Linked DNA regions of Xenopus tropicalis. The protein of the gene in region 1 binds, or shares a complex with, the protein of each later gene. Links are inferred from orthologs where the notes say so. Each region holds a gene or a part of one and is shown in the gene's direction. Other genes may lie near its edges. The genes, in order: aagab and ap1s3.

Region 1 (4,597 bases):
GAAAATATAGAAATAACTTGACGACAGCTTGCCTGATACTGTATATGTAAAGAAATGTAAAATCAACATGTGCAATGTTCCCCTCCCTACCCTCCCCCCTTTTACCTTCTGTATCCCTTCCCCATACTTGAAAATGCAAAAATAAAGAATTCTAAAAAAAAAAAAAAAAAAATCTTTTAAATTTTTAAATATAGAATAGATGGGCCTAATGTAAGCAAAAAATGCTCTTCATTTTTATTTTTTAAGGGTTAGAAAATTATTGGCCTTCCCATGCTGTCTCTTTTCATTCAGTCACTAAAAATACTATCTGGCTGTTATCAATTTATAAACACATGTTGTGACACCAATTTGGACCAATAAGTACTAAACATACATTAAATGCTGGGAATCCATAGCCCTGTAGGGCTCAGAGCAAAGTAAGTGTACTTTAAGCAGCTAAATATCTGCCCCACACAGCAGGGAGGTGTTGACTTTGCTCACGGGCCCCAGAGGAGCCTAAAATGTAAACCACAAAGGGAAAAGAAAAGAAAATGAAAATTACAGGGCTTATTTAGTAAAAACATTCATAATACTTGGCACAAAAATGCTGTATACAAAGTTTTTGTTCCTAATTTTTGCAAGGTGCCCATGGTGCCAGTGACCAGATTACAGTTAGCAAATTGCTCCTGCAAATTTTTTTTTTTGCACTTGGGAAATTACTCACAAATGGGGCACACAAATGCCTGCCGGGTGCATATTATCATAGGTGTATCGTATGCACAATTTTCTGGTGCCATTTTTTCCCACCACAACATATTAGAGCAACATTTTTACTGCCTGTGAGGGACTATAACTATATGAGATAATGCTAAATGGGGAGATGAGGGAACCCATGAGTGATTGTATATCCTCATATATGACCTCCTTCCTATTCTGTCTCATACCATCTCTGTAAATGTATATATATTTATTGTATTTATTATAACACTTGTCCTCCCTGTGTGTATATTGTAAGATTGTACAGTGCTGCGTATCCTTGTAGTGCTTTATAAATACAGTTATTCATACATACATACATACATACATACATACATACATCCTTAGGTGCAAGAGTTAGAAGGAATAGCATTGGGGTAACACTGTGGGTGAGGCAGTAAGCTGCTGTAGTAACACTACTAATGTGCTTAAGGTGCAGCAGGAAACATTGCCCAACACTGTATTATACTATGAGGCTATTTACAGAGCATGCGCAGAGTGATCTTATCATTAATGAAAGTATCCCACAGCAATGCCAAACGTCAATAGCACACATTTATCTACGTCCTTGTCTTAAATAAAGATTCCGGGGGAATAAGCCTACGGTCCCTTACCTGCACCAGGAGGCGGCCCACAGGGTCAGGACCCCGGGATGTTCCAGCCATGCTTTCTTTCCCAAGAAGTCAGAGCCAACTTGGGTTACCATGACAACGAGACGCGCTCCGCTCTATACCAATGAAAAAAGAAGGCAGGAAGGAACTAGGCTCCTCCTCGTTCTGAGATGACTGGCGGAAGTAAAACAGTTGTGTGGTGGAAGTCGGAAGGCAGCCGCTGGGAAGTGGGGCAAAGTGAAGGGCGGAAGCTGTGGGGGAGCAGAGATGGCTTCCCTTCCCTGTGTGCTGCTGACGAGCTGCGCTCCTGGATTCAGCGAGGAAGAGCTGGTGGCACGTAAGCGCTGGGATAAAGGGAACTGTGTGCATGGAATGAATGGAAGGGGTTTAGCGGGGAAGAAGGCACCATAGGGCTAGGGCACTGGGTAGGAACGGGCATCAGTATCATATGATATTTGTTTGTGGGAGCACTACCCTAGTACCAGTCCCTATCCCTGGCTTTATGTGGGACTACTAGCAGATAAACATACAGCTAATAATATGCCCACATACACTGCATGAGTGTGTGGCCTTAGCTATTGCAAACAGGTGCACTGGTGCCTTGCTATAAGCAGGAATCGCCATCAGGCTGCCCAGGTGCGAACTCCCAGCATCCAGCAACCCACAGCAACGTAAGGGACATTGCTTGCCCATCTTTCTGCCATGTAAAGGGCCGGGGCCATCTTTTAGCTTATATTAGTATTACAGAGGCCCAGAAATAAACTGTTCCTTTGTTACAGAGGGAGATGTGTGAGGTCTCTGCACAACTCTAGTGCATGTAACAAGCCCCATTGCACTGGCCCTTGCCCATGTTCCCAGTATTATGGAAGAGGAGCTTTTACTAATCTGTCAGTCAGATCATTGTTCTTATATGTTACATTATTAGGTCTCAAGGTTTGCAGGGAATACACTAGATCATGCTGGTTATGGTAACTAAGTCAAATTAAATATTATTATTATTAACATTTATTTATAAAGCGCCAACATATTCCGCAGCGCTGTACAATAAGTGGGTTTCATACATTGGACATACAGAGTAACATATAAAGCAATCAATAACCAATACAAGAGGTGAAGAGAGCCCTGCCCAAAAGAGCTTACAATCTACAAGGAGAAAAGGTTGAGACACAAGGTGTGGGAATGGGCATGACAGAGTTGTGAGAGGTGGGGCACAGGGTATTGCTAAACTAGATTAGGGTAAGCTTCTCTGATTAAATGTGTTTTTAGAGATCTCTTGAAGGCAGAGAGATTGGGAGAAAGTCTGACAGTTTGTGGGAGCGAATTCCAGAGAAGGGGGGCAGCTCTTGCAAAGTCTTGAATGCGAGCGTGTGAGGAGGGAATGAGAGAGGAGTTGAGGAGCAGGTATGTAGGAGCGTAACAAGCGGGTTGGATGGTACCTAGAGATGAGTTAGAAAGACATTAGCCTTAGAGTGAAGGACACATATAATAATAAAAAGGGGGATATAGAGAAAACCAAAACAGAGAGTACTTAATCAAGTTTCTACATACTTTAGAAATAGTGATGCCATAGAACTGATCATTACTTGCAGGAAATGACGCTGCTCATGGGAGAGTGCCTGAAAAGCTGACATTCAGTCGGCATAGTGTACACCTACCTTCCCAGGCTTTCAAAGCCTTTAAAGCTTTAGAATACAACCCTGATGTTGTTGGACTACAGTTCCCAGCATCATTTAATCTTAATAATATGTTGCATTATTTTAGAATTTGTACTTAAAGTCCAGTGCAGCAGTTTTTAGTTTCCCTTTAAAGTGGCGGTAACCATAATACTGTGAATACACACTGGGGGTCATTTATAAAAGCTGGGCAAATTTGCCTGTGGGCAGTAACCATGCAACAATTTGATTTCTTGGCATGGGTTACTGTCCATGGGCAAATTTGCCCAGTGTTGATAAACGACACCCACTGTGCCTTAGGGGGCACTTAAGCATAGGCTCATAGGACCTGAATGTATCAGGAAAAATATGCACCAACATGTTCTGGACGGATACAGGTATGCTGTGTTCTATGTATGGAGCTGTCTGTTGCAGTGGAAAAAAATTCACACCAAGTTCCATTTTTATGATTGATTCTGTTCAATAGCCATTAAAGGAGAGGGAAAGGTAAAAATGAAGTAAGCTTTATCAGAAATGTCTCTGTAAATACAGCCATAAGCACTCACAGAAATGCTGCACTGAGTTCTCTGTCAAAAGAAACACATTGTTCCATGTCTCCTTTTTTGTAAACATGTTCTTAGGGTGTCTGACTTCCTCTCTCAGAAAAATCCTTAATTCCCTGGGCCAGAGTCTGCGCAGTTCTCTCCTCTCTCCCCTCTTCTGCGCCCCCTCCCACAAGAATGCTAAGAAATCCCTCCCTTAGGAATGTGTGATCTGAGCTAGACTGCAAAGACTGCTAGAGTGCAAACAGGAAGCTATTTAAAATGGCAGCTGCTATCTTAAGCAAATGGAGAGAGTTTCTAGGGCTCCTTACTCAGGTATGGCAATGCTTTCTGCAGAATAAATATAGTGTTCTTGGTGGCACTTATGTGGCAAATCTATTGGCAGTAAAATGCCAAAATGACTTTCCTTCTCCTTTAAGAGTGCAACTGGACATAAGTGGGCAGATTTGCTCATTGGGCAAGGGCATTAAACATATGAATCTTTGCTGATGTAAACCATAGATTTTGTAGGTCACATTTGTAGAAATGCTCAGATTTCTGTGCATACACAGAGTAATGAATGAAACTTCAGCTGGCTCCTCCCTCAGCTGGTTCTGAAGTCATTACAACCAAGATCACTGTACATAGGGGAGGCAGGCTGAGCTAGTTTTTAAAGGAATACTGTCATGGGAAAACATGTTGTTTTTTTTTTTTAAAAAAAAACAAACCACATCAGTTAATAGAGCTTCTCCAGCAGAATCTTGCATTATTTTTAATTTTGAAATTTCACATGGGGCTAGCCATATTATTAATTTCCCAGGGTGCTATGTGAGCTGCGCTGTTGGTGTAATATCACCCCCTTCCCAGCAGCCGATCGGCAGAACAATGGGAAGGGAGCAAGATAGGTAGGTATCAGAATATCACTCAATAGTAAGAAATCCAAGTCCAGCTTGGGACTCCTCCAGTTACATGGGAGAAGGAGAAAGCAGTTCTAATGTGTAGTGCTGGCTCCTTCTGAAAGCTCTGACTCGGACACAATGCACTGAGATGGCGCCTA
Region 2 (4,422 bases), on another chromosome or scaffold:
GCTCACATGCTATAATAAATATGCCCCTTTCTGTCCATCCTCCAAGTCAGCCAAGCATCCCAAAGAGATGTTGAGAGAGGCAATTTGCTGTCCAGACAGATCGCAACAAGAAATAGAAAAGTAAACCATCCAACAATCTGTGTATACATTCAGCACCCCATGTACCTGAGACAGATACTAGCCTTTATATGGCCAAACATGATGACTAAGCTGCATAAGTCTGTTTTTTAAGAGCTAGAAGCGGAAAGCCCTTGAATTGTATACAAAGGCAGCAGTGTGGTTGCGGGAGTGCTCTGTGTGGGGTGGGGGGCTAAGAAATAAAGCAGAAGGTTCCCTTTCGTTTGACTGGCCTTGCTTATCAGGTGTGTCTGCCTAGCTGGAATTGTGAGATTTGAAGTTTCAGTGGCTTGTTTGTTTTGATTCAACCTAGAGCTGCAAAAGTAGAAGGTCCCCTTTAGGCTAATATTCCACAGAGCGAGTTAGTCACCTGCAACTGATCTCTGATTTCTGCTATTGCGGGCGACTACTATTTTGTAGCTGTAAGAAGCCCACAGTAGCAGAGATCTATCAGGGGCAATTACTCGCTCCATGGGACATTAGCCTTAAAAGCATTTACCCACTGACATTCAGATACATTTTGCCAGACCACACTGTATATATCAGTTATAGATTATTTATGAATAAATGATACTCTTTACGTGCCATGAACTGGATGAGCATACACAGCAGGTAGGCCTCCTTTTTGATTAGTTACAGCCTTTCAAATATTAAGGTATGTTAAGATGGCTTTACTCTTCTTTTTTAATATCCCTTGTAGACCTTAATGGTGGTGGTCCAGATCTGTCCCAGAAGAAACTAAACAGGGCCAGACACTCACCTATATATTTTGCTATGGGATTATAAGGTAAACACCAGCACTCTTCTTAAACAGCACCTAGCAGTAGAAATTTGTTCCCCCACCAGTTCTCCTGTGGGAGAGTAATTGTCCACCAATAGGTGCCCTTTAATTCATACACATTTCTAATGCTCAGGGGACTGCTGATTTGTTTTGATTGTGTACATAAATACAATAAATAGAACGTGATTTTAGTTTCAGCGTCTGATTATTTCCTATTTTGTGCCAGAAATAAAACAATAAGCAGAGAGCATATTCGCCACAAGCCCTATGCTGAAGCTTGTATTGCCCCTGAGGCTCGAATAATCCCAGAGCACAAAGCCATTCTCCCCACAGTACCGGCTAGCACTATACTTCCCCTGCACACGTTGTATCTGTAGTACCAGTGCACACAGCTTGGGGGCAGCAGAGTCGACGCACAACACTCAGGTTGGCAATGGCGAGGTATCTCTCCCCCATCACTGTCATATTTGGTTGCACGGGGTGTACCTTGGTGGGCGGTGCGTCACTATTTTTGCAAGTAATTGGCTCGCAGTTGTATTGGGGTGGGGCTTCCCATGCCCAGGTACGCTTGTGGAAATACCTAGTGGGTGGGGCCTCGTCTTTACAGCAGGTACGTGGGTGGGCGGGGCAGTTGCGGTGGAGTGGCCGCTCCAGCCTCACCTGTGCCAGTGTCACCTGTCGCTTCCCTTTCCGCCGGAACAGAAATGGTAAGGGGGGAGCGAGAGGGGAGTGGGGCTAGAGGGAACGCAGTAGAACCGGGGAATAGTTCCTAGCGTTTATGTGTTTGGGGGGGACATTGGTTTGGCTCTGTATGGGTGAGAATCATGTGACTCCTGCACCTGTCGCTTGCTAATCTGATCAATAAACCGGGAGCCAAGGGCAGAGTGCTCTTTCCTTAGTAGTATTAGTCAGGTAATGAGGTAACTTGCCCAAGCAAGCCTTGCCCTTTAAACATACAGGGATTGGCAGATTATACTAAACTATAACTCCCATCAACAGCAATCTAAAGGGTTAAATGGGGATGTTAATTAGTGCCATTCCTGTATAGGAAAGCTAGTGGTTTATTGTACCTGGCTATCTTTGTACCTCAGATTGATGGGCAGTGTTATTGGTGAATGATTTAGGGGGTATGTGGGGAGAGCACTCCCTGCTAGATGGAAAATACTTTGAGGTCAATTCAAGCAGATTGAAATGCAACTTTATTTATAAACAGCTCTTTCTTTGGACTCCAAAAGGCTAGGGAAGTGCATTTCTTCCAGCTGATAAAGAAACTACAAACTGAACCAAACGTACCTGAAAAACTGCATTGTCAGCTTGTTATCAGGTTGGTGCTCCTGTTAGGGTAAACTGCAGTGCAAACGAGCGTTCCTCTTCCTTCTCTCATCATACATACATACATACATCTAGCTTCAGAATCCCGAGGCTGTGACAAAGCTGACTTTTTTGTTAAGGTTTGGCTTTTCACTCTACTGCGTGTGCACAAGCGGTGTGAGGGAAGAGTATCGCTCTCGCAACTAACCTGGGATGGTGCGCTTTTCTCCTAGCAGGAGCACCACCCAGCAATTACACACTGTGTGGTGCCTAACATTGTGGCACCCCCCCCCCCCCAGTGATTGTACCTTTCCTTCTCCTTTTAAGGGGTTGTTCACCTTTAAGTTATGATGTTGAGTATGATGTAGAGAGTGCTGTTCTGAGACAATTGTAATTGGTCTTCCTTTTTAATTATTTGCAGTCTTTGAATTTAGCCAGGCTCAGACTGGGGGGTGCCCCCGTCGACATTGTCCCCTGCACTCCCTAGGGGCCCTCGCTGAGCCTCCCTAACCCCCCGCCCGACGTCCTTCACTGAGCACACTTAAGTTTAACGTGTCGGGAGGAAAACCGTCGGCAAGAGTCGCTCTGGGCCACTGGGGCCCACCGGGTGTTTTCCTGGTGTCCCGGCGGCCCAGTCCGACCCTGAATTTAGCTTTTTGTTCAGCAGCTCTCCAGTTTGGAATTTCAGCCGGTATCTGGTTGTTAGGGTCCAATTTAACCTGGCAAACTAGGCAGTGGTTTGACAGACTGGGATATGGGCCTGAATAGAAATATAATAAAAAGTCACTAAAAAAGGCTTTTACTGACGAGCGGTTTTATCTGTGCTTCCCTGCTGTGGCGTTCACACATAGGTCACGGTAACGTTTTCAGAAAATGAAATTTTGCTACAGATTATTTTTTAAATGAATTAGGGTACCATTATTGGTTACCCTGACAGGAACACATGTAACCTCACCTAGAGACTAATACAAAACAGAAGCCTTTAGTGGCATAAGTGTTATTAAAATTTTGCTTGGTTATATACATCAGTTACAGTTAAATGAGATATCTTCCATAAATCCCACACATGGTATATTTTCTTGCAATAACCCTTTCCCTGACAATGATATAAAATCTGCATCACTGTCAAGGAAGTTACATTTTTGCAGCAGTGCAGATTCTACATTTTTGCATTGCTTGAAAATGGATGGAAAATGCTTGCCTATTACATGGTTCTAAAGAAGACAACTGTTTTGGAAGGAAAATCTTCTTAACAGTAGTCACCTGGCTGTACTGTCAGCATACATTATTAAAGAATTATATGTACAAAACATATATATTCATCCTCAGTTTTGCAATGGAGACCAGTTCCACAGAATTTCCGAAGTATCCGTTTGCCTTGAGTGAAATGAGTACTTTTAGCATATACAAATATGTATTAAGAGTATTCACTCCTTTTCATCCATGTGCTGTTTATAGCTAGCTGAGTTGGAACACTGGGATGATTTTGGTATCTTTGGGGGCTAATTCATTAACATACGTGCAACAGAGCAATTTTTATTTTGTTTGTTTTAACTGCACAAATCCAATTGCAGCTTATTGCTGATTGGTCTCTGTGGAATACTGGCAGGGCCTTAAGAAACAATTTCTGCAATTTATGTGTCAGCCCCCTCCCCCAAGTGTTGTGCCATCAGTTGTATTTGAACAAAAAAAGCCCACACCAGTTTTATGAGCTAACCTGTTGTACACCATCCCAGAACCCCTGCATAAGGTTACAGATATATAACAGTAAGCAATCCCCCCCCCCCCCCCGTATCTCACCCTAAGCTAGGCCCTTGACTCATGACAGGGTTATCATATGGATACATAGGATATTGGTGTAACAGACACTCTGCTGTATTTCCAGGGGTATCCAGGGAATCAAGTAAGAATTTGCCCCAAACCTCAGCATACTATACCCTTAGATTGGGTTTAAATACTTCTGGAAATATAGCAGGTTGACAGTTACACTTTTATGTACAACTTACCTTTTTCCCCTTGTACTTGTCTCATTTCCTCCCTTGTCTCCACCCATATAACATTCTCTTCTCTTTTTACATTCATTCCATCTTTTGTTCATGTTTATAGTCACCCTTTTATGTATCCTCTCTCTTCCTTGAGCACCACTCACATGCCAATTATTATTCTGCTTCCAATTTTTCCTTCTACACTATCTCCTTGTTCCTTTTATTTAC

Evidence for each region.
Region 2: the proteins of aagab (region 1) and ap1s3 are in contact, whole or in part, in a crystal structure (PDB 9DDT), measured with the Homo sapiens proteins. The link is inferred for Xenopus tropicalis from reciprocal best matches to the Homo sapiens genes AAGAB and AP1S3. Residues at the interface, in NP_078942.3 of Homo sapiens: Asn51, Lys52, Tyr53, Tyr54, Glu108, Val109, Met110, Ile111, Gln128, Ile132, Gly135, Phe136, Glu137, Asp151, Phe153, Pro154, Glu155, Arg161, Gln164, Ala165, Asn167, Ala168, Asn169, Val170, Met176; in NP_001034658.1 of Homo sapiens: Arg10, Gln11, Lys13, Arg15, Gln37, Leu40, Ser41, Arg61, Tyr62, Ala63, Ser64, His85, Val88, Asp92, Phe95, Val98, Glu100, Leu101, Asp102, Ile104, Phe105, Asn106.

Annotation. Positions count from the first base shown.
Region 1 is NC_030679.2:117,439,658-117,444,254, reverse strand, and holds the start of aagab (alpha- and gamma-adaptin-binding protein p34), read left to right. Parts: upstream 1-1,570; 5' UTR 1,571-1,613; coding exon 1,614-1,683; intron 1,684-4,597. Other genes in the region: iqch (IQ domain-containing protein H), read right to left, coding at 1,350-1,400. UniProt on the Homo sapiens protein: May be involved in endocytic recycling of growth factor receptors such as EGFR.
Region 2 is NC_030681.2:125,309,740-125,314,161, reverse strand, and holds the start of ap1s3 (AP-1 complex subunit sigma-3), read left to right. Parts: upstream 1-1,540; 5' UTR 1,541-1,602; coding exon 1,603-1,605; intron 1,606-4,422. UniProt on the Homo sapiens protein: Subunit of clathrin-associated adaptor protein complex 1 that plays a role in protein sorting in the late-Golgi/trans-Golgi network (TGN) and/or endosomes.